Linked DNA regions of Schizosaccharomyces pombe. The gene in region 2 interacts genetically with the main gene of each other region. Each region holds a gene or a part of one and is shown on either strand. Other genes may lie near its edges.

What was found.
Region 1: mutations in ste6 (region 2) and erd1 together harm fitness more than expected from each alone (negative genetic interaction), as found in Schizosaccharomyces pombe (one large-scale study listed by BioGRID).
Region 3: mutations in ste6 (region 2) and cmr2 together harm fitness less than expected from each alone (positive genetic interaction), as found in Schizosaccharomyces pombe (one large-scale study listed by BioGRID).

What each region holds. Positions count from the first base shown.
Region 1 is NC_003424.3:495,487-505,387, forward strand, and holds erd1 (EXS domain-containing protein), read right to left. Parts: upstream 5,161-9,901; 5' UTR 4,920-5,160; coding exon 3,798-4,919; 3' UTR 3,392-3,797; downstream 1-3,391. Other genes in the region: dop1 (family protein DOPEY), read left to right, coding at 1-2,203; slx9 (ribosome biogenesis protein), read left to right, coding at 2,685-2,687, 2,729-3,244; SPOM_SPAC227.19C (uncharacterized protein), read right to left, coding at 5,631-5,762, 5,880-5,999; rRNA processing protein Rrp15, read right to left, coding at 6,281-6,898; yea6 (NAD+ transporter), read right to left, coding at 7,492-8,607; atg10 (autophagy C terminal domain family protein), read left to right, coding at 9,567-9,901. UniProt on the Schizosaccharomyces pombe protein: Required for the retention of luminal endoplasmic reticulum proteins, affects glycoprotein processing in the Golgi apparatus.
Region 2 is NC_003421.2:1,761,178-1,772,217, reverse strand, and holds ste6 (RasGEF Ste6), read right to left. Parts: upstream 6,133-11,040; coding exon 3,397-6,132; 3' UTR 3,247-3,396; downstream 1-3,246. Other genes in the region: mme1 (ATP-Mg/Pi carrier protein), read right to left, coding at 1-207, 331-726; ubiquitin-protein transferase inhibitor Glm2, read right to left, coding at 1,480-2,994, 3,052-3,225; triacylglycerol lipase Ptl1, read left to right, coding at 7,180-8,695, 8,747-8,868; SPOM_SPCC1450.15 (pig-F/3-ketosphinganine reductase fusion protein), read right to left, coding at 9,141-10,583, 10,970-11,011.
Region 3 is NC_003424.3:1,122,078-1,132,460, reverse strand, and holds cmr2 (AMP binding enzyme), read right to left. Parts: upstream 8,384-10,383; 5' UTR 8,295-8,383; coding exon 3,741-8,294; 3' UTR 3,357-3,740; downstream 1-3,356. Other genes in the region: translation initiation factor Tif52, read right to left, coding at 1-2,913; gto2 (alpha-glucosidase), read right to left, coding at 8,932-10,383.

The DNA.
Region 1 (9,901 bases), on a different chromosome or scaffold from region 2:
TCTTCTTTTACAAAACCTTCAACTTTTGATGGTTAATCCCATTCAATCTTTGTGCAAATTTGTTCATTCATTTCTTGACCAACACGAGTCTATGTACCTAAAATACCCTGACCCAGTAAAAGATTATGCGTGCATGGATGTTTTTATTGCTAAGTTGAAAATGCTTAGCGAGTTAGTTTCAGCAGCCTTATTGGAATTCACATATTCACCCGGCCCCAAGAAAAGTAATTTAGAAGCCAATGGTATCATCGGAAATGTCATTTCTGGTGTGTTTGCAGCGGAGTCGTCAGGCGTTAGCATCGATGTCAACAAGAGATTATCTATGCTTTTAACTATGCAGGATGCTTTGCAAACATTATTTTTATCATATTCATGGCATATTCGGTCTTCATATGCTGATAAAACGTCAAAAGTATTTATGAATGATTCATCGGTTTTAAAAGAAGCATCCTTATCGGGATTAAAAGAGTTTTACTTCTGTGAACCTCTTGAATGCGTAGAAACGCTGGTACAAATCTATTTGGAGAACAATGTTGAGTGTTGCCAGTGTATATGGGATATATTTTCATTTCTTAGTGATTCTGAACCTCAGTACATTGTTAAGCAATTAGTTTCTTCTTTTTTTGCACGTGAAGGAATAGCTAGTTATGCAGGGCCTTCTAGTTTGACAGCAAAGATTACACAACTCGATATTTTATGCTGTATGTCTGACTTCGTCTCCAGAGTGGAGGGCGAAAACACATCTAAGATTTTTACGGAAATTTCAAAATTTGTTCGGGAGATTATTTCTTCCTCAAACAGCTTTAAAAACTATTTGCTGGTATGTTTACGAATGCTACTGGAAGTTGCAAAAAACGTGAACACTTATTGCGAATCTCGCCAGCAAAAAGACTTTATTGATTTGATGGGGAAAACATTGTCCTCAGTCTTATTTCATGCAGGAAAATCAAGTGATCCAAACCTAACTGTAGATTTTCTGGCGTATCATAAAGCTGCTGCAGACACGTTTGAGGTTGCCAAAACACAAAAGAAAACTAGCTCCGTGTATTTATTCGTAAAATACTTAGATCCCTCTTTGCTTGACTTTTTCTGTTCTGAGTTTGTTCCAAAAATAACCGAGCTTTCTAAGGAAGAAGATAAACTAGTTGCTTGGGCTACATCAATCGTCAATGTATTTATAACTCCTTTAGTAAAGGCTAGGACATTTCCGGAATCACTCACCACTTATCATTTGGACTTATTGCTCGTGTTGAGTAAACATCCGTTTTTGAGTAAATCATGGAGGCGCGATTTTTGGGAAATTTTTAATGATAATTCACTGTTCAGGTTCGATATTGATCAATTAAGAAAGCTTTCTCCAGTAATATACACAGCTTTGTACCAAGAGATATCTAGATTAAATGATCTCATAACAAAATCTGATTTAGGCGTTACTACTTTATTTACATCTCGGGATACTCAACTAGGTGCAAGGCAGAGCAACATATGTCGGATCACAATATTAATGTTATCTTCTCCACGTGATTTTTTCCTGCCTAGTCTTCCACCTCTGATTGACCTTGTCAAACGGCTTATAACGTCTGATCCTGAAGGAGTATTAAAAAAGGACCTGTTTTTATTTATTAGAGCTCTAGCTTTAAGGACCTCTTCGAAGCATTTGCTTCCATTATGGCCAATCGTTGTTAGCGAATTGTTGATCATTTTTAAATCTTACTGTATGCCAAATGTTGCCATTTCTAAAGAGACATTATTAGACGCATGCAGGCTTTTGGATTTTTTAACTGCACTCAAACTTGAAGAATTTGCGCTACATGAATGGGTTGTGATGCTTAGTCCACTAGATGCTGTCTATTGGAGCGGAAAAACTAGCCGTAAATCCCTCGTACAAAAGGTTTCTGAGCGACTTCAGGAGCAAGCATCGGAGAAGGACGACAAATCCAGTGTTGAATCCGAACATTCTATTCTTACTTCAACTACAAGAACCCCTTCTTTAGGCATTTACACAACGGACGCTCAATTAAGAAACTTTTTAAATCGCATTTCTATAGACGCTTATGAAGAAAGCTACTCGTTTTCAACAATCGACATACAATCTTTTGAAAATTCTATTTACAGGGAAGTTCTTCAAAGGTTTTCTAATGCTCCCCTATCTCCCTTTTCTTCAATTAAGGCTCCATCAAGCCTGGCTGGCTCCAGTAATTAATTCATAGTATTTTATATCGATTAGGAAGTCTAGGCTGTGTGGCTTCTTATGTAACTTCCAGTTACTCTAACCTAATTATTTTTGTATGTATTTTCTTTTCAAGTTTCAATGTTTATATTCGGAAAATGGCTATAGGGTTTAGTTTGCAAATACTTTAGGAACCATGTTGGACATTCATTTAAAACTGCTTTAATTTATAAAAATTGTTAATTAATGTTGTTTCTTAATTCATTGCACATAAGATGGAAATTAATGTAAGTTAAGTTTTTCATTTCAAATACTAATATTATGAAACCAACTTACGCAATCAAGGGCAGTCCGTTAAATCCGATGCCAATAGTTGTAGTGAATTTTTAAACCAGAAAGCACACCGAATATTCAAGATATTTCACTCCAATCGTAAATATTATTTTGGTTATATATCCTATTTAACATTTAAAACGATTTTTATCGATTGATTCACAATCAATTTTATTTTAGCATGGTATGTTCATCCATAGATAAACGTTTGGCTGACGACAACAGCCAAAAGCAAAAAAAAGAGTCAGTCTAGCGTCAAAAGCATCAAGTCGTTTACCGTCTTCTGGTAAACCTAGCCAACAAGCTAGTATTCCAAATGTCGAGTTATCTTCCACCGTTACTTCGAATAGTCAAGTGCTCAACAATGATCCGCTGAAAGAAACAAAGAAAGATAAACGGAAAGACCGTCATTTCAACTGGCAGCAAAAATTTTCTAATCCAAAAATATCTGCTTCGGCTCGTAAGCGCCGGAACCGTAAAGCCAGAGAAAACCTGAAAGTCAATGTGTCTTCGATTGGAGAAGTACTTCCAGAAATTGATCTTGATATTTCGGTAGCTAACTCCAGGTTGAAGCCCGTAATTAAGGATAGTTTATCTTCTAAACAAACTAAGAGTTCTATGAAACGAAATACCGTTGAGGAAATCGAAAGGTTCCAAGCCATATTGAAGCACCCTTCATTCGTTTCAAATCCTTTGGAAACGGTACGGGAGCACTTAGGAAACTCTTTGGATAGTAGATAAATAGAGCATGCTCATGTCTAGGTAAATTTGGAAGGAATTTGAGTACACTATAAATGCATGATTAATTTGGGGGGTTTTCTTTGGGAGGTTCTTTTCATACTTACTGATTATGTTTTTACAATAAAAAAGTCTACTGATCTAGTTTGTTATTCAGTATGCAAAAAGAGAGCTTGATTTATTTATTTATTATTAAATTCATGTTTTAAACTTTTGACTCAACAACTTAATCAGTAAAAGATGGTGAAATTTGTTCAAACCCATTACGATTCCCATGTAACAAATAAAAGTATATATCCATAATAAAATTTTAAGTAACTTTCTTACTTTAAGTAAACCCAATTCAGCGAGACGGTGCCATTGTGTTGCAAGTCCGCAAATGACAATGTACTTGCAATATTAAACCATTAGCGCAATAAAAGAATGAAAAACATATTATATGCCAAGCAAATAATAGAACGGTAAATTGATACGCCCTAAAGAAAGAAATTTTTTGAAAAGGTTGCAGATGTAATACCTACACATATGTGACAATAGTAACTTCAATCATTTCCATTTAATCTGGATGTATTGTCGGGATGTCACTACGATCACTTATGTTAACATAGGCCAATGATTTAGAAGCTTCGGCTTCTATCCGAAAAAAAACCCAAACACAACGTCGGAAAACTTCAAGAAATTGCATTATAAAGATCCCAAAGTCGGTGGTAAAAAACGCGGATTGATGTTCAGGCAAAACGCGAACTACCCAGGCCATTCGCAAAACAAAATCAATCGCACTTACAACTGCAAATGTGAATGTTGGGAATAAACGCCGAACCCCAAATTTCCAGTTTTGGATTGATAACGGTTGCTTAAAAAAGGGAAGACTCCAATCCATTGAAACATCCCACCAAAATGAATAAGTTGAATTTATAGCTGAAGAGGTATTCCATAAAAACCATAGAAAGCTAAATCTTTTCTTTGCAAAAATCCCAAGGAATATCGCTGGAAAAGCAGTGAAATACTTGATAGAATTCAATGTACTCCAAAATTTATCTGATGAATTATCCGCAGAGCTTCTTTCAATCAAACATTGACGAAATCGGATAGCGTATGGATACGCTGCAATCATTGACATAATAACCTCATTTTCATATTGTTTTCTATGAGAGTTATTAGGTGAGTCAGTTACGTAAATCAAGATTGCTCCAGCTAGCCAGAGATCAGCAATGACCCTCGAGTAAGAAGTCAATAAATCAGAAAATATAACATCGGGAAATTTGTAATCAGGTCTGTAGCTTCCTCCCAAAATCCTTAGACACTGTCGAGTAAACACCTTTCTCTGGAAGAACCAGAACTTATGTACAGGCATAAAAACAATAACACCAAAAATAAAAACGGGGACGTATGCCAATTCATCAGACCCAGAAATCAAATATAAGGATTCGGCTATTACGAAAAGTAGAGTACCTAATATAGATAGGGAGAATGACAATTGCCATAGAGGAGCATTAGCTTGCTGTGATCGATTGACAGGCAACGGAGTATGTAATAATGAGAACACGTCGACCCTATTTATCACTAATAGATGTAATATCAATGTGAAAGAATAAAGACCAAATACGACCAAGAAGAATAATCTCAATACTAGAGGAAAATAATTGATAAAGTGATTCAAATCCTCTATCAACGCCATATTAAATAAAAGGGAGAAAATCTGAAATAATATATTAAAATAAACTTGAATGCAATTATACAATGGATGAATTTTTACAAAGAGAGACGCAAACAGTGTAAAATATGTCGAGTCAAGTTGTACAGCCGATCTTCTAATTATGATGATAAAACTTGACTCATAAATAATGAAAATTATCAAATAAAGGGTTCTATGATGATAGAGATTAGCATTACTGCTTGAATGTCGAGAGGTGCGTTGTGGAAATGAATGCAATAGGGTACACCAAGGTAAAATCTTAAATACCACCACAGCCAAGAATCATGTTGGTCTCTACAAAGAATGGTGGGATTTTACAGTAAAACTTAAAACATGAAAAAGTAAGGTGAATTTTTAAATATATGACGAAACTTGTGTTATGCTGAATATTAATATTAAGCTGACAATGAGTGGTTTGGTTTAGTAGCATATAGATGATGCGAGTAGAGCAAATGGGTTACGCTTAAAGTAGTATAACAGATTTTGTTGAATGGAACATCAAACGAATCAGGTTAGAAAATGATCGTAGATAAATTTGATGGCTCAATCATCTGATAACCGTTCACACCTCAATTTACTAATTATGCTTGAACTCCTTAAAAAAGTCTTGAAGTTGATTCACAATCCTTTAATAATACAGATTGACGGTTTTCGAAAAATGGAGAGCAAATGCTTATTCATTACTTTAAAAATTTATCGGCGCATAGCGCTTGGAGAATGCCGAAAATATTTGAGTCCAAGCCAATTAAAGAATAACCATACGAAAAAAACCACTGTACAAGTCAGAATTAATATACATGGATAATAAGAACGAATAGGTGAAACCTGTTAAAAATATTAGAACCAAATTTGTACAAGATAGAGAAATTAAAACATATTGGTACAATGACCCTGGCAGAAAATATTCGACGATGCCATTGAGATTTTAGCATCATAACTTACATCGCCATCAACATAAAGTGGTATCTCAACAAAGTTAAATATAGTCATAAGTCCAAATACAAATAAAAACCAACAGGTAAATAGCAGTAAGTATCCATTAGATACCATCGAACCCATCATTTTAACCGTATTGATAGGTATCTTCAGGCACGTTTTAAACAAAATATGATGAGTAGTAATTTAATTATAACCAACGAAACCTAACTAAATACCTTTTATAAAGAATCTATACTAGTTGTACAAGAGCAAACGTTTCGCAGAGACAACAAAGTAAAAGTACAGAATCTCCTCAAATGTTAAAGAAAAAAGGAGAATTAAAAGAAAAACATTAAAAGAAAGCCTTAAAAAACCGTGTTAAACTAGATCTGGGATAGTATTGCCCTATTTTGAAAGTTTTCCCGTTACTGGGATTTTATGAGGTCAAGGAAGCTCGCCTTTGAGAGCTCTTTGACTTTTTGCTCACGAGCAGTACGACCACCAGAGATGTTTTCTCTATTTAAAGAGCTTTGAAGTTGAGCAGTACGAACAGCATTGAATAATTGAACTACACCTCTGCGAGCAATACGGCGAAGCTCACGTTCATGGGTGAATAAAGCTTTTGCTGTTTCAGCGTTAACTGCAACAACGCTCGTAACACGACCAACCATCTCTTTTCTCAATCTTTCACGTCTTCTAGAAGTACGTAGTTTAGAGTCTTTTTTTTCCGCATTACTTTTTCGTAAAGCTTTTTTAGATTTTTTAGACAAACTTAGAACCGGCGTGTCTTGTTCATCAGTTTGAGTAACTTGTTGATTTAAGATATCAGCAATGTCATCAGCAATGGTACTTTCTTGAACTTCTTCTTCAATTTCATCTTCAGAACTATTGGATTGATAAAATTCGTCTTCGCTGTTCAAGTCTTCCAACTCTTCCTCAGAGTTTTCGCTATCATCTTTTACAAATTTTTTAGAGGAATCATCTTCTTGAGAGACAAATGATATATCTTCGTTTTTTATTTGAGATCTTTGTGATTTCGCCATTAATGTGTTGTTGTCTAAATTTGAAATTTTTTGACTGGAACCACCAAGTAAAGCATGGTCTCCAAAAAATGCACAATATCAATTTGAAGCGCCTAGTTCGTTCTAATAGAATAAAACTGATATTCTGTTTCTTTAATTATATAAAAAAAATTTAATTTTATTTTAGGTAGTTTAGTTCAATTTGGCGAACACTAAAATATTATAAATTTGCTCAGTATAATAGGAATGGGAATAATTGGAAATTTCTGACCAAAAAAACACTAATAAAGCTCAAAGCTTGATACGTTCATGCTTATGACCACGAACAGGGGCTACTCGTATTAAAGTAAAATAAACTAGAATGGGTTTCATCCAGTCTCAAAATAGGGCTGGGCTGGTAACACAAGAAACAAATGCTTAATAAAAGGTAATTATTAAATAAATATTGATGAGAGGGGGTAAGAATAAGAATTAGGAAAACCTAACAGCTGTGAGACAGTAATAATTAATATTAGAAATCATGCACACATCTCAAGGAAACTGATTAACCTTGGATTGTCGTTAAAAAAATAAAGACTTTGATCGTTTTCTTGAGTATATACACAACGGATAAATTAGTTCAGCCATTTGCGAACAATTTCGAAACTGAGGAAGGTAACCGAACTGGCAGGTATGGTGCGTATAAAATTTGTTGCCATGCCAGAGTAATATTTTCTCCAACCCTCTGAACGCCATATGTCTCGAATAAGTAAGGTAGCCGAGTTGTGTGTAGGTGCATCCAAACTCTGCAACCGAGTTCTCAAAACTTCATGAGGATAAGTGACGGTAGAAGCTGCGATTTTAGACAAAGTAGCTGCTAACACTATATGAAAGTTGCTTTTTTTACCAAAAAAATCATCCAAAAATGATTTAAAATATTCGTACAGTGGAAATTGGATGCCAACATGCAATGTACCAAATAAAGAGGGGAAAAGACCTCGGTAAAATGCTGCAAGGCCTTCGTATTTATAAATTTTTCGAAATGCGTCAAATGTGTTGTTGTATGCAGGTGAACATGCAGGGCCTGTGGGAGGATTCACTGGATGCTGTGATGGAGAAGATTTGACATTCGTCCTACGCTTGAGCCAAAAGCGAGGCATTCTCCATTTGACGGATGGTGCGTCCGTTTGAAGATTACGAAACTGGACGGTTGTAGCCGCAGCAATTTTATCTACAAAAGAAGAAGCCCTAGGATGTGATTGAGTGACTAACCTTGTTTTTACAACCCAAATGGGGTTAGTAAGAGTGACACTTGCAGCACCGGCGATAACCGCAGAAAAGATTTGACCACCCCAGTAACGATAAAATTGTTTGTCAGAACTATCTAAGGAAGCCTTGATGCCAACCTTGGACGAATCAATTTCGTGGAGAGAAGTGTATTTTTTATTTACCCCAAATAGCACTTTGCATTTTTCATAGACTACAAAATAAATGGACCAACTAGGAAGATAACCTAACATCATGGGTCCAACACCTCTATAAAGACCGGCGATGCCTTCATTGTGAAAAATTGTTCGCATCGAACTGAGGGTCCCACCCAAAACCATTGTATTTTTTCCACCACCAGTTGAATAAAAAGCCTTTTGTGCCTGCTTTCTTGTTTTTACTACATCTAAAGGTGCCACTACAAGAGAAGAGGCCAATCCAGCAGCTCCTCCTGCTATAGCATCCTTTAGAGAATCATCAACCATAAAGACGGATCAATTTCCTGATGATAATGCATGCATCTAAAGAAAACAGCAATTAAATAATAGACCTTGACAAATTCTTTACTTTTTTAGACGCTGATAAGAACGATCCAACGCCTTACGATGTTTCAAATTGGAAATGTATATATATTTTAGCGTTGATGTAAGAAGCTGTACAACAACATATATGTAAGTAAAGTGTTTGGCAGCCGTCAATAAGAAAGTCGAATCACTGTGCGGTAAACCACATTAACGACATGAATGTCTCCGAATTACTAATTGAGAGGACGTTCCATGCCCTTAAAAGAGAATTTCTTTTATATGTGCATATCAGATATGATTAAAGTCGTAATGCCCATTAACAATATATAATGGTGACATTGATGTTGCTAACAGCTTTACACACATATCTCAATTTTACTTCACAGATCAGTTGGCTTTATAAGCACCATTGGAACAGTGCTTTTGCTTTTGCTTTTGCTCGTATAAGTATTAAGAGGAAATTACTAATATAAAACCTTAGTTTTTCATTTTTTTCCAAGTCCAAACATATTGTTTTTATACATTAGCTTCTCTTGATTACCGCCAATTTCTAGTCGAAAAAATTATTTTTTTAAGAAATCCTACATTTGCTGAGAAGAAATGTTGAAAACGTAGTAACTACACAGTGTACCACTATATTGTTGGATAACTTTGTAAACTCCAACGTACTGTTTTGTCATACTCTTATTGTCAACTTTAGAAGCAAGATGTAGAATTAATATACTTGTAAATAACTGAAACACCATTTTTGTCGAGACTTAACTTCAAATATATTGACAGGTGATTGCCTCTATTGCCCTCATTGGAATAGTGCGTTGAACAATCAGACTGTAGCCAGGCTTATGGGACAATAATTCCTTCTTCAATTACTTATTGCTTTAGCAAAGATAAAGTGATTAAATTGGCTAACCGTGACAATAATGAGCTTTAAGTCTCAATTACTTATCCTTGCTCAGAAGCTGTCGAAAGGTGGTATTTCTTGTGAGTTGATTGAGTTTGATGAGTGTATTTTGAAGTTAGAATGGCATACTGAGCTACTTGATAAAAATGATTCCTTATTATACGAGCAGGAAGAAGATGATATTTTAAGCCTTATGAATCCAATGATCACTATGCACGCCTGGATTAGGGATTCTCCATCCTTCGAAGTCCCGCAGTTCTTCTTTCAACCTTATGCAAACGGATCAGATCCTCTTACCAAGATGGAACAGATTTTTGAGTTATTAGAAGGATCCAGTCAAAATTTAGCATATGA
Region 2 (11,040 bases):
TTGACGAAGCTTTTCGTAAAATAAAAGTTGAAATCCAGAGAATGGAATATCTCGCAAAATAGTCGCACGATAACCATAAAAAAAGGTTTTCATTCCCTCTTGTTTTGCAATCTGTTTGACGGCACCTCGAAATGAAGGATAATTGTAATTTGACTGGAAATGGGGATTATTGTAGCGTCCTTGCAATTGTAGTCTAGTTTTCAAAACCTATGAAAAACGCTCGTTAGTATACAACTGTTTTTCATAAAGCAGCGGGAAACCTTTAGAAGGATAAAAACTGGAAATTTATTTTCAGAAATATTTGGTCTTCCCACTATATGCAATACTTACCTCGGATGGGACATAAACAACTGAAGCAAACAAATCGCCGACAAATCCGGCTAATAAAAAACAAAGGGTTTCAGGAAGGTTATAATTACTCATCAAATGTCGTTTTGTATATTCATAAGAGCTAAAAAACAAAGCAGTAGCCGGCAAACTGCCAATAAGCATGGGGCATACTCCACTGTAAAGGCCATGAAAAACACCTTCTTCACACAAAATTGTGGAGTAGCATTTTACCATTCCGTTATATTTGTTCGTATATAGAGCCGCTTGTTGTCTTGTTTTCACGGTATCCAAAGAATGCATCAAGAAATCAGCCGTGGCTCCTCCGATACCTCCAGCAATCAAAACATGACTATAAGCTGGAGCTTTATCAATCATTGGAGGTATTCCAGGCTCCATTGTATTTGATAAAAGAATGTGAATTAATTCTTAGTGAAAGAGGAAAGGAAAAACGTCTATTTTATGAAGGAACCTGGCAGTTTTGCCTTTCTCCAGACATGAAACTGATCAATTTTTAAAATTGCTTCGCAAAGTGGTATAAAAAACTCAATTCTTGATGGTTCTTTCACAGGACTTACTTGTCAGACGGAATCCCTCCTTTTTTACCGAAGAACCCAACTTTCGAGTTTGCTCTGGTTAAGTCGCTATTCGTACTTAAAAACCTACTGATTAGCGTTTACTAGCAGAATAATAACAGACTAGAAAAACATCAAATTATATATATCTATTAGATTTTTACTCTAGATTTAATTGTAGCTAATATTAAAATCCTATTTTTTTAGAATAAATGAAAATCAGTCATGAGTTGTTGAATTTATGAAATGTCGATCTTTTTTCTAAATATGGAACTACCTTTTTTACAGCAAGGCTGTAACGAATATAGCAATGATTGCAGTGAGAAATCCAGTATAACCTTTCTTTGATCCCTGATGCTATTGAATGAAATGTATGTTTGGTGTGACCAATTTAATAGAGCAGTAGATTTACTAATTGGTTTAGCATCTGAATTTGAATCAAAAATATATGTAAAATGTTAAAAAATACAATTTCAAGTAAAACGATTAGAGCATATGTTAGGGGAGAAGTAGAAGAAACATTTATGCTTCCTTCCATACACTTTTTCACGAAAACTTTAATTTTTGTTGTTGAACCTCATTTGTTGCGAGAATTTAGAAGCTCAATATAATACTTCAGTCCGTCTGTAGGAAGCTCTCCCTCATAATTATTTATTTGGTCGGAAATCTTAGTGAAATATACAGTAGGAAATTGGTTTTGACTTAACAAATTTTGAATCTCGAGTGAATAGAGAAACACCAGTGTTTGGTGAATGTACGATAGGGATTGAGAATCAAGTTCAACATCTTCCATAGCGTCAAACACTTTGAAAACATCCAGAAGGGTATTGGGAGATACAAAGTTTTTTAAACCTTCCTCATTACTATCTTTTACAAGAGAACACTGTTTTTGATAATAATTTAGGATAGCAGTTTTTATATTTAACAGTGGGCATTCTTCCAAAGTATCAAGTATGTAGGAAAGACGGACACTTGGTAACTGAGAATCCAGACATTTTGTGACTATAGCATTGCATGTAACACGCAGCCAAGGAAGTTCTGTCGAAGAAGCCATAAAATGATATCCATGGAGCAAACTGGAGAGATGCTCGAGTTCGGAGTCGGGAACCTGGAAATGAGGTAAATCCAACAAATATCCTTGATACACAGCAATATCTTTGAAACCAACACTATCCAATTGAATCTCCCAAGAGACCAATTGCTGCAAAGTTTCAAGGATAGTAGAGGGAAATTTTTCTTTCAAAAAATCCAGAAAGAAGTTTCCGCTTTGATAGAACGATTTAATTGTTAATAAAGCAAGACATCCTTTCGTGTCAAATTCAATTTCATCCCGCTTATCATCAGCCTTAGTAGAATTGTTATCAACTTCAGCAGGAACATCAGCATTTTTGGCTATTTCTTCGTCTTCTGAGGAAATAGAGGATGACTGACTTACATATGTAGCTTTTGTCAGCTCCTGAGCCATGTGCTCAGTAATGATACTCCAGCTCTCTGGAAGATGGGACAAAAGATAATCGAAGATGTTTATTATGGATTTTGAAAGGGTATCCAACTTGTCACAATTAGTCGTAGCGCCACTTAGTTCTTCACGAAACTCTGCATACTGATCTTTTGTTTGAAGCAGCGAACGGAAAGAAAGCATCAATGTTTCTTTACTTAAAAAGAGTTGAGCTAAAATACTGCAAGCCTTTAAACATGCCAAATAACACTCTGACACTGGAAAGCGATGCATTGCATCTTGTATAGATGATATTGAGATTTTCCAAACACAATACAGTTCATCGCTATCAATTTGCAAAATATTTGCTAACCCCGAAAACAATGAAATTAAAAAATTATTTACAAATAGAACTGGTCGCTTTGTAGATATACGGTGTAAGGCTGATAAAATGGCACTGTTCAGAGATATGAATTGTTGGGGACTTTCAAAGCCTCCATTTATCAAAAGTTCACAACATTTAAGGAACACCTCTCTTGGATTTCCGTTTTTGGCTAAGAAGTCCACAAACTCATCGGCCTCATTTTGTACTTTCCCAACATATGGAAGCACCATTCCTATAATGTCCCAGGAAATTTCGCGTGTTATATGGTCCTAATTGCAACATTATTAGGAGAATTCATATTTAATTACATGAATATTTTTACTTACATTCTTTTCTTGCTTCAATTCTTCATGTAGACACTTAATCAACTCTCGCTGCTCATCAATATCCTTTATTCGCGCTTCTTCCAATATCAATTCGAGTAGCGTTGAGTAGGTAATATAATCTTTGGTTTCAATGGCTACCTTGGCGGCACCTGGAATCGCTTCTTTCCAGTCCATTCTTCTTATGAATATTAAGGTGTGAGGTAAACGGACGAAAGATAATTTACGAGGCAGACTATATCAGAATTAAATGATTTTAAGATTATATTGTTCTACAAAAGATTTGAAAATATTAAAGGAATTCGAAGCAAGCTCATAAAAACTTAAATCACTGTTAACGTTCACGCTTCAAAAAATGCCAGAATCAATTAGCAAGCGTTGTAAGGCTTGATCTTCAGATTCACGTGGTTCTACAGTTAAACTTCTTTGATAGATGTTATTCGTGTTTCGCTCTCTCGATATAACTTCATTAAGAAGCTCTTGAACTTCGTTGATGGGATTAAACATGTACCCAACAGATTGAAACTTTTTTATCTCATTCAAAATTCTAGTGACTTTGGTGCGCTTATCGAAATTGATCATGTTTTGAAAGTTATCTTTATTTCCAGTTTTAAGGAAAGTCAGATCAGTGAAGTAAACACCTAAGAAAGGGACACATGGCAAGACACAGTTCTCCAGACAATCTCTATAATTACTGAAATTTTTCCTTGCCTCTGTCAAATTGTTTAGAAGCTCAAAACTAGCCAATGTTTTACTATTCAAATTTGCCCATGTCTTACGCAGCCGATGAATGGGTGAGGAATTTAACGCAGAAATGATGGAAAATAAACTAGCAAAATTGTTAAGCTCTCTCAAATAATCACAGACCTGAATAAAATATGCTAGCACATTGGTACGTCTGCGAGGTTCTTCTTCTTGCACGATGGTTTCGGTCACAAAGTTAACCAGATGATTCGACAAATAAAAGGTCGAAGTTTTTTCTTTGGGTGAGAATCTGTTAAGATTGTCCCAGATTTTAGTTAGGAACTGAATCCTTGATATGTGTGAAAATGATTGAAACTCTAAGATACATAACTGCTTTGCAATTTCACGAGGAGGTAGAAGTAAAACCAATTCATCCTTATATATAATTGGATCAGGGGAATTATGGAGAGAAAGATCCTCTAATTCTTGGGATAGCTCTTTTCCCTCTAGCATTTTATGTGATCTTTTTGTAGAGGGATGATGAAGTAGGTGTGATAAAGAATGCAATAATTCTTCAGCAGATGCAAAATGTGGAACTACAAAGACTTCAAAAACTTTATAAATTTTAAACAAAAAGAATATTGACTTGGAATTGTCCAACTCTTCAACAAGATACGATTCGAACCAAATAAGAAGTATATCCAAAAACCTCTTACTAACTCGGTAAAATTCGTGAGAAATAAAAGAAATTTTTCCAAAATTTAATGAGCAGATGAACCGAAAATGTGCTCCAAGTATGGAAAATAAATCTGAAGAACTGATCATACTAGCGTATGTGTTTAAAAAGATAGTAGTAAAAAATGTACTATCTATATCTGTCCTTAGAAGGTAATTTATAATGAACACTAAAGTGGCTGTTTTTATTTTTCCATCTTGTTCAATTTTACCATTACATGACCAAAATGAAAACAAAAGGTTTCGGATCAATAATGGCTCTGGTGAAGTCTGTTTCATTAAATAACAAACTAATCCTTTAGAGTCGAACCAGTTGGTTTTATTGAGGTCAAAACCATCAAGTTGGGACTTCTCCGCATCATTCAATTCTGGTTGGATATTTGTGAGGAATTTGTATTCTAGAGAAAGAAACACAATTCTTTCTGAAAATTGAACAATTATTGACTTGATCCGAAGAAGGGATACTTTCAAGGTTACTAGTAAATCAACAAAAAGGGAATAATTGTCCAGTAAACAATCGCTAGGTGAGATTTGCTCCAAGTCGATACTCCACAAATATAAATCACATAAGTTAGAAGACAGTTCATCCTTCAAGGCTTCAACATCTTGAGAAGTGAAAGAAAAAGGGTTATTTTCAGAGGAAGAATAATTTATTCTTTGATTTGCAGACAAGAATCGCCTACAACATTGAATGCATCTATCGATGTCCTCTAGAATATCTAGTTTCCAAGCTTCTAGTGCATCTTCCGCAACTAGCTGTAGTACTTTTTGGGTTGTATTTTCAGTTAGCTTCTGTGCTTCTAAATTCCAAAATTCATTCTCAGTGCAATGGTAAGCTTCGTGTGAAAGTGACAAAATTGCAACAAAGGAAGTAATATCAGGTTGGAGATTTGTATGTGCTGATTGTACAGAATTGGAACAGAGCATATTAAAATCCCATGGCAAGAAATGTATTTCATGCGCTATCAAAGAGCCCAAAAAGTAAGAAGGGAAGGAAACATCGGGCCTGAAGAAAAACAAAAACTTATTAGCCAATTGCTTCAAAAGCTTAGTAAATCTGATGCAAAGTTCACCATAAGTGCAACCCATTCGGCTCAACTCTGGCAATAAATTTAATGAGGAGAACACTTGCGCGACTTCTGAGAGAAAATTTTCATCTAATGTAGAAAGGATTATCAAGGGAAATGAAAGAACCATACTACGAACAGTTTCAATTCCAAAAACGATCACTTGAGTGCCTTCCTTTTTTATAGATTGTGACACAGCGGCAGCGGTGGTGAGAATCCCTTTTACAAGGTGGTGAATGTCATTTTGAAGATTTTTTCTTAAGAACTCTTCTGAAGAAGGGATACTATTTATCGCTTGCACTCCGTGTTTCTCAAACCATGCAGAATCTTGAAGATGAGCCTCTACGTGAAACGGCGCACAACATTGAGCATTTGGGTCTTTCTCATTCGATGAATGAAAACTTGAAAAAAAATTTTGAATTTTTGAAGAATCAATGCACGACGTGGGGAACCAACCTCGTTTTTCTGAGCAAATTCCGTCGCACCAACCGTCCTCGAGCACTTCTATAACTATGATAGTGTCTCCTGCAGAAAATTTTAAAAATGAAGGATTAGAGCTGTTCTCATAATCACTTATTGCGGTCGTTTGAAACCTCATTTTCGTAAGGGTCCATGAATGCTATCAATTCCACGATTCATTTATTTTTGAAAGAAAAGAGGAAATATACCTTCTTAAGTTATTTCAGTATTTTCCTGCTTTTAAAATAAAGAAAACACCCGTTTATTTAAAAAAAAAGCTTGTTTTCCCATTATTAGCCATTTTGGGAATTTCTTTGTTTACTAACAATGGGCTACTACAATAGAAATTACCTGTGAATTTGGCGCGTCGCGTTTTGTCACTACGCAACTGTAATATTACATACAGTATTTCACTAGACTATGTTGTCAATCACTTTCACAATGGACTCACCTAAAACCTGTGGGTATGCGACTATTCCGCAATACAGTAATACTTCGTTGTTTTCACTATTCAACCCTATCCTTCGCTATTCAATAAATACAGAAAGAAAAATGTTCTTCCTGAAAAATAAAACAGATTGTCCTTCTGGTAGCGTTTTTCTAAAAAAAAAAGTTGAATTCTTTTCTATTGATCCAAACTTGATGACTATTGTTAAAGGAATAGACCAGTGAATTTAAAAGCTTTTGCGACTATCCTTGACCGATTCATTTTAGGCAGTAAAAATACGCAAAAAAATTTTATGTATCGCTATATTTAAATACCGTATGTCATGATAGTCGACTCCACTTTATTATAGTGTATTGCAATTATTTCGTTATAGTACCAATATAATACGGCAATTTAATACGCTATACACATCATGCCCACCTATAAACTGCCCATGACATAGGGTTCACCGAATTCACCGACAAGTTCAACAAATGTTTTTTCCCACGGATGTAATCGTGCCAATTGCCATTAACCAGCTTCAATTGAGCTAGTTCTATGAATTGAGCTGTTAGGTGGAATTCTCCAATTATAAAAGATATTGTAGTAGTTCATGAAGTGTTTGAAGCGGATTTTAGTTGGAACTTACAAAAATTAAAGGATAACTCTATCCATAGGTCCTGTTGAGACTTGTTACGTAAAATTAGAAAAGATTGGAAATTGTATTGTAATTTGTGAATTTACCATTGTTTGCCTAATATGACTGCACTATTTAATTTCTGGCGCATTATGTATGCGAATATTTCGTCCATTTGGCTACTGGTGGTTTCATTTTTTGAATGGTTATTTTCCGCTACGTCGATATCGCAGCAGCGTGGTTCCGGCCCTCGAAAGGGAAAGGTAGTTATGAACAAGGATTGTCGTTCTTGGGAGGATTGGAAAGTTTTGGCTACGACGATTGACAAGGCGTCGGGGCGTTGGAAATGGCGCTTTACTCCTGCCTCGGACAAGTACGACTATCTATTGATTGATCGATGCACGGTCTCCTTAAAACGATACCGCCAGAGGAAATCTGTCTATCCCATGTTAATGTTCTTGCGCTCTAGCTTACTTCGTAACTTTGGCAACATTGGCAATTCCTCTCTGTATACCGAGAATTACTCGGGTACAAAAATTTTGATTGAAGAGTATGTACGTGAGGTCAACAATTGTTTAGAGTTTTTATATCACACTAAAAGGCTTTCCTACGACGTTAAGTGCGATTTTTTTTCCGCTGCCCGAATTTCCTTCGGTACTACCTGTTTGTATTTCAACGGCGGCACTGCGTTTGGTCTATATCACTTTGGGGTAGCTAAGACCCTTTGGAAACGTAATTTGCTTCCTCAAATCCTTGCAGGATGCGCATCAGGTGCGTTGATTGCATCGCTTTTGAGTGTCTATCGTGATGAAGAATTGAATGGTTTGTTTGATACTTTCCCCAGCGAACTGTGGAAAATATGTCAGCAAACATCTGACTATTCTCTTTCAAAAGTTGTGGAGTATGGGAATATGCTTGACATTTCCATGATAGCATCTTTTGTCCGTCAAAGACTCGGTACTATTACCTTTCAAGAGGCTTTTGAGCGTACTGGACGTATTGTTAACATCGTTGCTCCACCTTCAGCTGTTTCTGGATCCCCTCAGGTTCTTAATTATTTCACTGCCCCTAATGTGCTGATCTGGAGTGCCGTATGTTCTAGCAATAGCTGGGCTGCCATTTACCGCTCTTCTCCTCTTTTGGCTAAACTTCCCGATGGGTCTACCGAGGTGTGTACTCCCAAAAATTTTATTTGGCCGTATGCTGGGCTTCCTAATACCGGTCGCTCTAATCCTTATGCACGAATCTCTGAGATTTTCAACGTGAATCATTTTGTTATTACCCAGTCTCGCCCTTCGTTGTTCCCTACATTTTATGATGAACTTCATCATCATCGTGTTTCAGGATACTCCTTAAAAATGATACGCTTAGTAGGATTAGAAATGGCTTACCGTTTCCGCCAACTGGATATTTTGGGTCTTCTACCTCCAAGACTACGTCGATTTTTTGTTGACGATTATGTTCCAAGTGCGTATATCACGCTTACTCCAACATTTTCTTTCTCGGACATAAAGCATGCATTTACCAAGCCCTCATTAAGCGACATCCAGTATTGGATTCTAGTAGGTGAAAGGGCCACATGGCAAGCTATACCACTTTTACAAGTTCGCTGTAAAACTGAAATTTCTTTACGACATCGTATGTGGAAGCCGATTCTTTTTTGAGTTTTGTTACTTGCTAACCTAACAGTTTCAAAAAACCTTACCAACAGTTACGTTGAACCTTTGTCCGTTAATAATCTGGCATCGCCCTTTGTCACTAATTTAGAAGAAAACCAAGAAAAGATGCTGAAAATTTTTAAAGTAAAATAGACGGATTTTTTAAAAAAAAAAGCATTTGTTTATAATCTTGTCCCTTAAGGATTGGTCATGCGTTAATGTTAATTTTATTAGTTTTAGTTACTTTGGTTAATTTACATTTTATTATATATTTACTACTCATAGGAAAACAAAATACTGACGTTCATTCTATTTTTTTAAATTTCTAAGAAATTTCAAATCTATTTCTCAAAGTATAATTAGCGATAACGCTCCGCTCTTTAACGATAACTAAAAATAAAGAATTTAACCAACTGTATAATTGTCTATTGAAGAATCTCTCCAACTATAGCTGCAAAAGCATATCCTAAGAATGCACCAATTACTATAGTAATGGGCCAAGCCTGCCAAGGACGGTCCCAATCTAATGGGATAGGAAAAGCGCCAAACCAAGCACCAATAATAGGACCCCAGCTTCTTAGCTGCATGCTACCTATAACATTAAAGGATTTTAAAGTAAGGAACCTTTGCCATTGTTCAGTGTTAAAAGCAAGCGTGCTTGCAAGAGGATATACAGTAAAGACGCTGAGCGTTAGAGCACAAAAATACGTCAAATGAAAGTCGTGCAGAAGTGGTGCTCCAAATGCTACGAGAATGAAGGAGATGAGTAAAGAGCCTATCAACATTGATGCTGCACCGGCAAGTAATCTCTTTGGGGTTAAGGGTGGGCGTGGGCTTTGAATATAGATTTGCAATGTTTGCATGATAAACCAAATAGGAAAAGTATTTCTAAGCATTCTATAAGGATTTTCAATTAAACAGTTTAGGGAAAGATAGAAAATGGTGAGTTGAGTAAATGTCAGCAATAAAGTAAATATCCAACTATTTCTAGAGCTCGAAGGTTGTCTGTAACCCTTTTCTAAAGCATATTGATAAACCAAACTGTCTAGCTTTCTTCTATAGAATGGCCAAGCTAGAAGAGAAACAAGAGCAAATAAGTATTCTAAAATAGGATTATCATGTGGGCTAGAGTTTCGACAATGGTTTTTCATTAGATGGCCAGTTGATTCATTTGCAATCAAAAAATCTCCTCGATCTAAACCTGTCATGCAATGGGAGGCTGCTTCCTCGCAAGTTTGTACGGAATCCATACCCTCCATCTGTAAAACCAATTCCGGTTTCAGTGTATTTTCTTGTTCATATCCTGGAGAAAGGATGGTGCTAGGAAGATAAACAGAGACTTCAATATCATACAAAATGCATTCTTGGCGAAGAGAATCAGCTAAATTTCGGACAGCAGCTTTTACAGGGGAATATGCCGAATAGCCTATAATAGGTAAAGAACTGAGTAGGGAGCCAACTAGAAGAATCCTTCGAGAATATGAAGGAGATATTTCCTTCATCCTTCTAATTGCAGCATGGCAAACATAAACACTAGCCAAATAATTTTGTCGCATTTGCTTTTCAAAAACCGAGGGATCCAATTCCGTGAAGAAACCAGGAATGCAAGATCCGGCGCAATGAACAACATGATCCGGGCAAAATGGAAGTCTTTCTATCATGCTATGGACACTCTCATAACTTGTAAGATCCACGCTCTCAAACGATACTTGTTGATCTTCATGAATTTTTGAGTCTGAAAGCTCAGCCACTGCTTCTTGCAATTTAGTTACAGTCCTTGCAACAATTGTTACATTTGCCCCACGTAGCACGAGTTCCTTAGCTATTGCCTTGCCAAGTCCCTGAGACCCACCGGTCACCAAGATATGCTTGTACTGTTAGTCCATTTCCAACACTTCAAAAGAGATAAACGAGTTACAGAGTGACAAGATGTTAAGAAATATCCAAAATTAGATTGCAAAGTATTTTTGATAAACGTACAAGTCATTGCTTCTATCCCAACTACCTTAATTGATTGTTCGAGGAAAAGTAAATAATTCAACGCCCAACAATTACAAAACACATCAATAAACAAAAAAAAGAATTACAGAACAAAAATTTAAAAAAAAAAAATTTGCAAATACATCTTCATGGATGTGAGATGAAGCAATGTAAATATTGTTTTTATAAATCTTTAAAGGCAACCCTGGTTACTCATATCCGTTCCGTACATCTCCAACCTGGACACCTCGCCCATCTGTAAAATAAAACATACCTTTTTATCGGCTTCAAACGAGTTTCGACCCCAAAACCCCATTGTAATGGAATTGGTATTTGTTTGATTAC
Region 3 (10,383 bases), on a different chromosome or scaffold from region 2:
ACGAAGAACACCTTCAACAACATCAACACCAAGAATGATAGGGTCTCGTTTGTTGAAAGCAGCAACTGTCTTCAATACACAAGGAAACACTGCAACATCAGAACTTTCTTCACGTTTCTGCTCAAGGATCTTCTTTTGGTGAGCCGTGAACGCATCAAACAAATGATAGATGACATTAGCAGAAAATATTTTGACACCAAGCTGTTCAGCCAAGTCTTCAGCATCTCGGTCTACTTTTACATCAAAGCATAACATCAATGCATATTCCTTAGCTTTCTCCAGCATAGTAGCACAGCGCATTACATCCTTTTTGTACACTGGACCAATGTTGACTGAAGCAACGGGAATTTTCATTTGTTTGAGGAACTCAAGTAGTGCTTCTAAGGATCCTAATGTTGAAGCTTGAACAGAAACACCAATACCAGATGTATCAATTCTTCCCAGAAGATTTTCAAGGTCTTCCATGATCTCTTCTGCCAAATCTTCTTCATCGTCATCAGGTCCGACGACTAACAAACGAGATCCTGCTACAGCCTTTTCAAGGTCATTAGCACAAATTTTTACACCCATTGCGGCTTTAATTTCTTTATGATGAACATAAGCTGATTTAACTCTCATTTCCTTTAAAGGTTGAGGTGTCAGAAGAGCTCGAACGGTCGTAATGATAGGTCCACCCATTCCACAAAGAACAATTCGATCACCTTCGTGTAGGACACCGTTTGACAAAATAACATCAATAGTAGCACCAAGGCCCTCAATGACTTTAACCTCCAACACGGTACATTCGAGAGTAGTAATGTATTTGATACGGTCTGACATACGAGTCTGCGTTAACGAAATTAAAAGAGCAACTAAATCAGGAACACCCTCACCGCTCTGTGCAGAAGTTGGAACAAGAGAAACGTAACGACCCAAATTTTTATTTTCGAAGTACAATGCGGCGTTTAAACCTTGTTCGTTTAATTGTAAGATAATACTTTCAACACGATCTCTGAATTCCCTCTGGATAGCCTTCTTCTGTTTAGACAGTGAATCTTGGATTGCGTTGTCCTTTATGGAATGCCAACCGTAAAGACGATCAACTTTATTCAAAGCAACAACGAATGGTGTCTTTTGATCGCGTAGTAGTCGAATTGACTCGATTGTTTGAGGCTCTAAACCATGCATAATATCAATCACTAAAATGGCAATGTTGCAGAGTGAAGTACCACGAGAACGAAGGTTGGTAAACGATTCGTGACCAGGTGTATCAATGATGAGCAGACCAGGTATATTGTATTGTAGTTTGCCTTTCTTATTGACAACTTTCGTTTTTTGCTTAATTGACTCAATAGGAAAATAAGTGGCACCAATTTGTTGAGTAATACCACCAGCTTCGCCCTCTTGTACATTACTACGACGAAGATTATCAAGCAATTTAGTTTTGCCAGTATCAACATGACCCAAAATACAACAAATTGGTGAACGAAGATCAGACTCAGATACATTCGATTCAGCAGGTGCGGCTTGTGGAATATCATCTACCTTGTCGGTTTTGGAGTCCTCCTTGTCCTTAATAGAATGTTCAACAGCGTCAGACTTTATATCTGTCTCTTTCTTCTCGGTCACCACTTCATTATTTTCCGCAACCTCAGGTTCCTCCAATGCTGCTTCCCAATCATCAAAGACAGCTTCAGCTTCAGCTTCATTTTCCTCTTTACGTTCAACCTCTGTCTCTTTTTCCACTTTTTCAGAATCATCTTTAGAATCCTTTTGTGGTTCATCAACCGAGATTGAAGTGGCAGGGGAGGATTCTAATATGCCAGATGAAGAGATGGAAGAAGTACCACTTCTATTAGACTTCTTCTTATTAGTGTAAACAGGTTTTTGCTTTTTCTCACCATTTGAGAGACCCGCAACCCGAACACCAGATTCCAACATCTGTTGAAGACGACGTTGAGCCAGAGCCTGTTGTTCCTTCTGCTTTTTACTAAGGTATTTTCCTTGAGCCTTCATCTCTTCTTTCTTTTTCCTTTCCTTCTCTTTCTTTTTGAGTCTAGCTTCTTCCTTTCTGGCTTCTTCCACTTCGGCAAGTCGTTTTTCTTCCTCTGCTATCCGTGCCTCTTCTTCACGTATTCTCTGTTCTTCCTCCTCTCTGGCCCTTTTTTCCTCCAACATCTTTTGCAGAGCTGTTACATTAGGTCCTTTACGCTTCGATCCAGCTGCCTGTTTTCCTTTGGCAGACGAATCATTTTCTGCCGGCGTAGAAATATCGACCTCAGAGCTAACTTCAGAAGAAGCCAAAGTATCCTCGCCCGTACTACCTTTCTTCTTAGCCTGTTGCTGTTTTTTACGAAGTTTTTCGCGCTCTTTTTTCTCACGTTCCTTTTCCTTTTTAGTTTTTACACGAACTTCAGGAATTTCAGGAGGAGCAGCAGCTTCCGACTCATTATTGTTTTGAGCCTTTTTACCTTTTTTGCCTTTCTTGGGTTTGTAGTCAAACTCATCATCATCCAATTCAGTTACCGCCGTCAGCTCTTTAGGTCCTTGAGGAGATTCAATTTCCTGAGGTTCATCATCTTCCTCAACCTTCTTTGACTTCTTTCCTTTTTTGCCTTTCTTGGGTTTGTAGTCAAACTCATCATCATCCAATTCAGTCACCGCCGTTAATTCTTTGGGACCTTGAGGAGATTCGAGCTCTTGGGACTCGTCATCAGAAACCTGGTTTTTGTTTCCTTTGTTCTTTTTCCCTTTCTTTTTCTTTGACGTGGTTTTCTCTGAGGAAACAGCCAAGTTTTCAGACTTCTCAGCCAATTCATCATTTTGAGGAGAATCTTGAGACGTATTGTCCAAGTATTCGTTTTGACCGCTGATATCTTCACCTAAATCATCTTCCCAATCAGCGTATCCAGATTTTTTTCCCTTTTTCCCCATTCTTCGTTTTTCAACGTCAATGGTTTTTGGTTTGATTAAAAATGTAAGCCAAAGTATGTTTACTACTTTATAACGAGGAATATTCTTTGCTAATTAATTACAATAATGAGTTTTTTATACAATTTCGGTATAAGAAATTAAGGAGTTAAAACATTACTAGCCTTGATGCTTAACAAAGAATACCGTCAATGCTCTGTAGTACAATACTTTTACTTTCATTTGCTGCTAATTTTCAATGTCGTATTTTTATAATGTTTGGTTGTATTTGGAATCTTTATACGATATGAAAATGCATCTTTCATTATTACTTGAAACGTAGATACCGATACCTTATAATGCGTTTTCAATCCAAAGCTTGTAAACTGACAAGCTAAGAATAATGAGATTCTAATGCATTTAAACAGTAAGTGAAAGAAATGATGCATTACGCACAATGTTTGACATATGGGAGTAATACTCAATTTTAAAATGATAAATGGACTTAAAGTAAGTAAAGTATATCAAGGTCATTATTTCTTTTAGTCTACCAAAAAATATAAATTAAGGAGAGCAACACGCTATTCAAAAATCCGGAGAACTTTTTAACAGAAAAAGATGCAAAACGCGAATATTAACGCAGTCAAATAAATAAAAATATAGGTTTTAATACCAAAAATTATTATGAAAGAAAGTTTGCTCTGCTTGTTTATCAAATAAGCAAACAAACAGAGATGCAATAGGAATCAAAACACAAAGATACAACAACGGAAAGAGAGTTGATTTTCCAAATATAAATGATACCAGGAAACGAGGAATAAGGAGATAGGGCAGATCGATATCCACCTATCTTAAAATACTCGCTGTGGTAAAGTAGACCGAGAACTAACAGATGGAGTGGATCGTAAGCTTGGGTTATAGTCGGGCACGTAAGAAGATTGAAACTCGCCTTCTCCAGAACCCCTAATGTAAAATACTTGAGTAGTGCGAAGTCTGCCGGTAACCCAAGAAGCAAGGATTTTACCCCTTTGCTTTTCTCGAAGCCGTGAACGGGGGAAATTACCACGCGAAGTAAACGCTACGACATCGGCAATAATTTGATGCTCATCGAGGATACTGTTGATCACTACTGGAACAATGGCTGCCAAAAAATCCTGACCTAGAGCCTCAATAACGACAACAACTCTTCCAGCAGACTGAAAAACTGCAGTTCCTCCACGAGCGATTCGAGGATGAGAACGTTCAATGGTGTCCTCAATGTCAGAAGGAAAATGACTTAAACCGTTGACTTCAAAAGTCTCTCCAATGGGCCCTAATACATAGAGAAGTTGCATGTCAACAACCGGTGCGTTGGGTCCCATGGAATGTGAAGTGATTTGGAGAAAGCCCAAATCACCAGTACGAACATATCCGTTACCAAGAAATCCATCAGAGTTAGTAGCATTAAATCTCATCATATCTACTGGATCTGTTGATTGGAAAAAAGAGATAGCATTTGCACTCGAGCGCATCCAGATTTCACCATACTCGCCAACTCTGCATAGTTCACGAGTATCAGGATTAACTATTGCAAGCTGAGTAGAAACTGGAACCATTCCAGAATCCAATAAAGGAAGTGCATATGGCTTGTCTGCTGACTCGCATGGTTGTATTAAACCATGCCTTAAAGCTCGCAAATCGAGTAATTGAGGTGTAGGAATTGCACCCATATATGATCTTGTAGATATGAACGGATTCAAACAATTACTATACACAGTGCTGAAAGCATAAGGACTCAGACCATGTTTCACAAAGTACTTCTGTAAACTAGCGATATAGAACGCACTTATGCGACCGTCGTGAGGAATCATTAAATTTTCAAGACATGACAGATTTGGCCATTTAGTCGGTTGTTGGTTTTGAATGTAATTAAGAGTTTGAAAAGTAGCGTAAGTGTCTTTAATCTTATATTTGGATATGATTTGGAATAAAAGTAAAGGGTTGTTGGCAAAATCAACGGGTGAAAGAAGGTAGGTGGTTGTTCCCAAAAAGACTCCCATTAAACATGTATGAAAAAAGCCAATACCACTCATACTCCTGACATGTCCCAACAGAGGCCGTTTGTGGGTCATTTGGCATGTTTCTTTGTGTATTTGGCATATAGAAAGTAACGTTTGATGATTGTATGCCGTCAAAGTTAAACGATGATCAGGAGACCAAAAAGCCCAAACGAGAGCAGGGAAGGCAGGGTCTAAACATATCGGATCTAACTTTACATTCAACTCCTTGATGCTTTTCGTTTGCTTACTAATTTTTGAAGTCACGATAAAAGAAGGCAGTACTACTTTGGCAGCCATAGCCGACTGCTTCAAATGTTGAGATGTGGTTTTAGCACGAAGAGCTGTGTCAGCTTCGGAATTGACCAATACGGCACTAACATAATAATGCTTTATTAAAAACAAAAACGCGGGTACGTCTTCTGAAAGCCTCATGTGATCCAATGGGGGTACGGGAATAGGAATCAAGCCTAAATAAAAGCAAGCATATAAAGCATAAACAAAATCTTCTGAGTGAGTGTACATTAAAACAACCACCCTACCAGGCTTTATATACTTTTTCTTTTGCAAATATCGAATAATAGTTGCAACTCTTTGATCAAATTTCCTCCAAGTAATGTTTTTTCCTTCTCGACCACGACCATCTATAGTAATATAGGCAATATCTTCTGCGTTCTTTGCTACTCGTAATTGCAATAATTGAAGCATTGTATGACAAGAAGAGATATCCACCGATGTTTTTGCATCATATCGTAAAGAGCGGTCTATAAACCCGCTGTATTGAAGTTCTTGATCAGAGAGTAAATTCTGTCGAATACCGCTAGCATAGCTAGACCAAATACCGTCTATAGCATCCTCACCGACTGGTAAATTAAGAACAGCTCGCTCTACTGCAAATTTAACATAAAGAAATGGAAGCGTACCATGCTCAAACGCTCTCCTACACATCATGTTACCAATTTCTTGGCGACCATTTTTTGTTACTCTGGGTAGAGTAAAAGGGGCACAAATCAGAACACAGTAGACACGAACTTGATGATCTTCCAAAAGACATTCGACACATTCCGTAGTAATAAGATCAAGCAATCCATAATTGATTACAACTTGGTTACCATTAGCTTCAGTTGGTATGTTCGCTGCAGGGCTTTCTAGCAGAACAACAGGTAAATGCTCGCTATTTACGAAGATATCAAAAGCAGAACAGTCAAAAACTTTGGACACCTTTCTCATGATAGTGTTTACTAGATGGGACGTATAATGATGAAAGAATATAGTATCCTGTTTGCCATTATCAACCCACTCAACTTTTTGTTGAAGACGATCCTCGTAAAGACCAAGAACATATACTTTACCCTTGCGAATAAATCCAAGCAAACCAGTCCTTAAAAACTCTTGGTTAGATGGGATCGGTTGAAAAGTATCAGAGGAAATAAAGCTGGTCCTAGCATGAAAAATTGCTTCAGTTTGTTTAGGAAGAGCAAAAAACCCACCCGAGAGTGATGGCGAGTCAACCCAAATTTCGCCAACTATGTTAGGCAAGCAAAGGACTTGAGTCTCTGGGTCAACAATTGCGAGAGTAGCATCAACAAAAGGGTACCAAAACGCTCCTACACGTATGGTGTTTGGGTGCTTGGATTGGCGACGTGCTTTGTCATCTTCAGCCAACACCACTACTTCATTCAACTTTAAAGCTTCTTTTTCTAATAGAACCTCTGAAATCTCATTTTCCGGAGTCCTTGGACTCTTAAATCCTTTGGGAGACATGAATTCTTCACCACCAATCCAGTCTTTCATTGAAATTACCATTCCTCCATGTTCTGGAAGGCATAACAAAGGTACGAATGTTGCGCGTGGATTTTGATTTCCAAGAGGTTTTAACCAACGATCGGAAACAATCTCTTGAAATTCACAATCAACGTTTAAGCAATCAACCATGCACATTCGTAAAGAAGATAAATCTACTGAATGTTTTTTACTAAACCCAAGTGTTGCTTTAGGATCATTTTGATAATTGTAAGCGATAGTCTTCAAACCGGCATAGTCAGTAAGCATAAACGATGCACGATAGCGCGTAGCAAGGTTTGCCCATAAGCCTGGCACAAACACGGCATTTTGAGGACACCAAACAGTCGTGTATCCAGAAAAGACTGTATGCAGGACACCCAAAATCAATCCGATAGCTTGACGTAAATCGAGATATGTAAGGAATAAACCGGATTTACTAAGACCTTCAGTGTACTCACGATCAATAGATAAATAGTCTAGTTTATCAGATTCATAAGCTGGAGCCGTGGCATGAATAGCAGCAAGACAATTCATTTGATGAAGTATTGTACGATGTGAAATTACTACTCCGTGCAATTCACCAATTGGTGACCGAGAAAATTCAATGTAGGCAAGGTCAGGTACCTGTAAAGGTGGCATTTCCGCCTTTTTCTTAAGGTGGAATCCACCAAATTCGTTTGTCTTCCACCATTCAACATTTTTTGGCCAGTGTAACTTTTTAGCATTTAAATCTCGTTGAAAGGCTTTTAAATTAGCATCAGTGGTAAGAGCAAGTCGAGCACTAGTAGTTGTCAATATTGAACTTAGCTCGTTGTAATCGTCGAAACGATTGATAGGTACAGCAACGACACCAGCAATAAAGCAACCAAAAAGTGAGACGACGAAATCAATCGCTTCACAGTCCCTGTACATGAGAACTACCCGGTCACTTCTAAAAAGGCCACTCTTATCGCGAATTACTTGAGCAACTTTTTCTGCTCGGGATGCTAGTTTTTCCCATGTGATAGACGTAAATTCTTTTCCTTTATTATCTAGAATAATAAATGCAGTTTTCTTAGCGCTGTGTACACCTCTATATCGTAAAACAGCAGCTATATTAGTAAATTGTTTCATTTCGATTTTAGAGTTCAGTGGATCCGTCACAGGAAAAGGAATTTCACGAGGTTCAAGAGGATGCTGTTGTTTACCAGCAAAGTGAGCCCATTGCTGATCCAAGGTGTCATCGACATGAAGGTTGCTTCCAAAATCTTTTCCGTCAAATGTTGCTACAATGTCCGAAGAGTAAGCTATCCTTGGTTCATTTACTAAATCGTCTCCATACACCTCCTCCATATGATCGTGACCAACCATTGTATAATTTTCATGATTTTCAACGTTATGATTCTCCGCTCCTGCATACATCCCATTCGGATATGCAGACATAGATGCAGCAATAGAATTTTGCCTTAATTCACATTCACTCTTATTTTCTCTGCTGTTATTTTGTTGAAAATTTGTCGCCTCTGAATTAGCAGGAATAGAACCTTGAACTGGTTTGTAATAGTTTTGCCCGAAATTCCCAGGTTGATTAGGAAATTGATTCATATCAAACAAAATTCCTCTATTTGTCTAGTATCCTCATAAACCTGGTAATTCGAACCTTGAAACCTTTACAATTACTTGGTTATGAGATTGTTGTAATTTTTTGGTGTTGATACTGCTTTTGCTCGCTGCATTTACCGAGACTCGAGGTAGCGAAATCAAACATTTATGAGCTTCTAGCATTAAAGGCATAGCATGATATGATATTTTTATTTAAAAAAAAAAAAGCTAAACCATATCATATATCGGTAGTACGCCTTTTCAGAATTTTTGAATTTGTCTTTCACAGTATTTGCTATATACAATACTCCTTACCTGTCAAAACAATTAAATAATAATTCAATTGCACACTTGTCAAAAATTTTATTAGAGCAAGAAAATTTTTCAAGATTTGAGTGTACTCCTAATTTTCACTTGTTGCTATGCCCGTTGCGTGTATTCTAAAATCATTTATAAATCTTAAAGCAATAAAAAAGAACAGCATAAAAGCAAGCAGCAGCTTTTTATTAAAAATATAATTCAACACTAACTAGTTAAGAAGTTAAACTCTAATGAACACCATTACTTGAGATTCTAAAATCATAAACAAAACGAGGGCGCAATCCCAAGCTTATAAGTTAAACATAACAAAAAAATTGAACTATGACCATGTTACAGTCCAGTTTTTAGAAAAGGCACCGTCGACTGTCAAATCTAGTAGATTTGTTAACGAAAGAGTCTGGTCTGAATATTGATAATCGCTTAATTGCTGACCATTAAATAGTATAGTATTTGGTGGGTTTGAAAGACCAAGGATTGTAATGTTGGCCAAAGATGGGGACGAAACCATGGTTCCTGATACTACGCACGTAATCGTATTTGAATTAGAATTTAGTTTGACAGAGAGAGATGAGTTTGTTTGCATCGAAATTCCGTCATCAATATATAAACTACCACTAGCAAACCCATTATTATCCATAGCTATAAGCAAGCTATAAGGATTATTGCGCGACTCATATGTAGTATAACCGGGTTGCTGTAAGGGAATGATATTTCCTCCACGAACGGCAATATTGACATACCCAAGTGGTGCACTCATAGTAATATTTTCATCGTAATCATGGTTTATTACCGAATGATTATACCAATCGTACCAAATAGTATCATTATCTCCAGGAATGATACCTTGAATATATGTCGTGTTTGGTTCTAACGCTGGGGATATCAGCAATGCAGTTCCAATCATAAACTGCTTATCCACACTTGCTAGTGAGATTTGTTTTGGGAATTCAAAGAACAAAGGACGCACCATAGGTGTACCATCGACAGAAGCTGTATGCATTAAAGTGTACCAATACGGCAATAAACTGTAGCGTATTTCGATAGCGCTTCTAGATGCCTCAGCGACAGAAGCCCATCTGAACGGCTCTTGTGGAATGGAACCTAGACTATTATGATTTCTATAAAATGGAAGAAAAGCTCCTAAAGCCATCCAACGCGCACAAAGCTCTTCATCGGTATTACCATTATACCCACAAACATCTGCTCCAACCATTGGTATTCCCAATAAATTAAAAGTAAGTATACTCGAAATAGAGGAAACCATATCGGACCATTGTGATTTATTATCACCAAGCCAATGTGCGGCATATCGTCCAGAACCAACAAAGGTTGAGCGGCTCAAAAGGAAAGGCCTAATGTTTGGCTGAATTGAATTAAGTGCCTCAAAAGAGATCTTGCTTTCTGAGTAGCCATATGTGTTGAACAAATTATATCTTAATGTATTGCCGTGCATTGTTGCATTAGGACTAACGCCAAATTGAGCCAAGTCGTGAGTCTCAGTATCTGTGTCTAAGGCATAAGGAGGATAGTTGATACTAAACTCCGGCTTTCCGTTAATAAGAGATTCACTTGAAGGTGTTTCATGTGATTTTTCAGAAGTTGCAGTGGCTTTATATTGACTCTGTGAAGCCCGAGAAACAGACTTGTACTCAGTCGTATTGGTAGCATTAAAATCCTCGGGATAACTGTAAACTTTATTATCAACATCTCCTGGCAGAGAAAATGGTGGATGAACTGGATTCAGTTTCAAAAGGTCGGACCCACATGAACC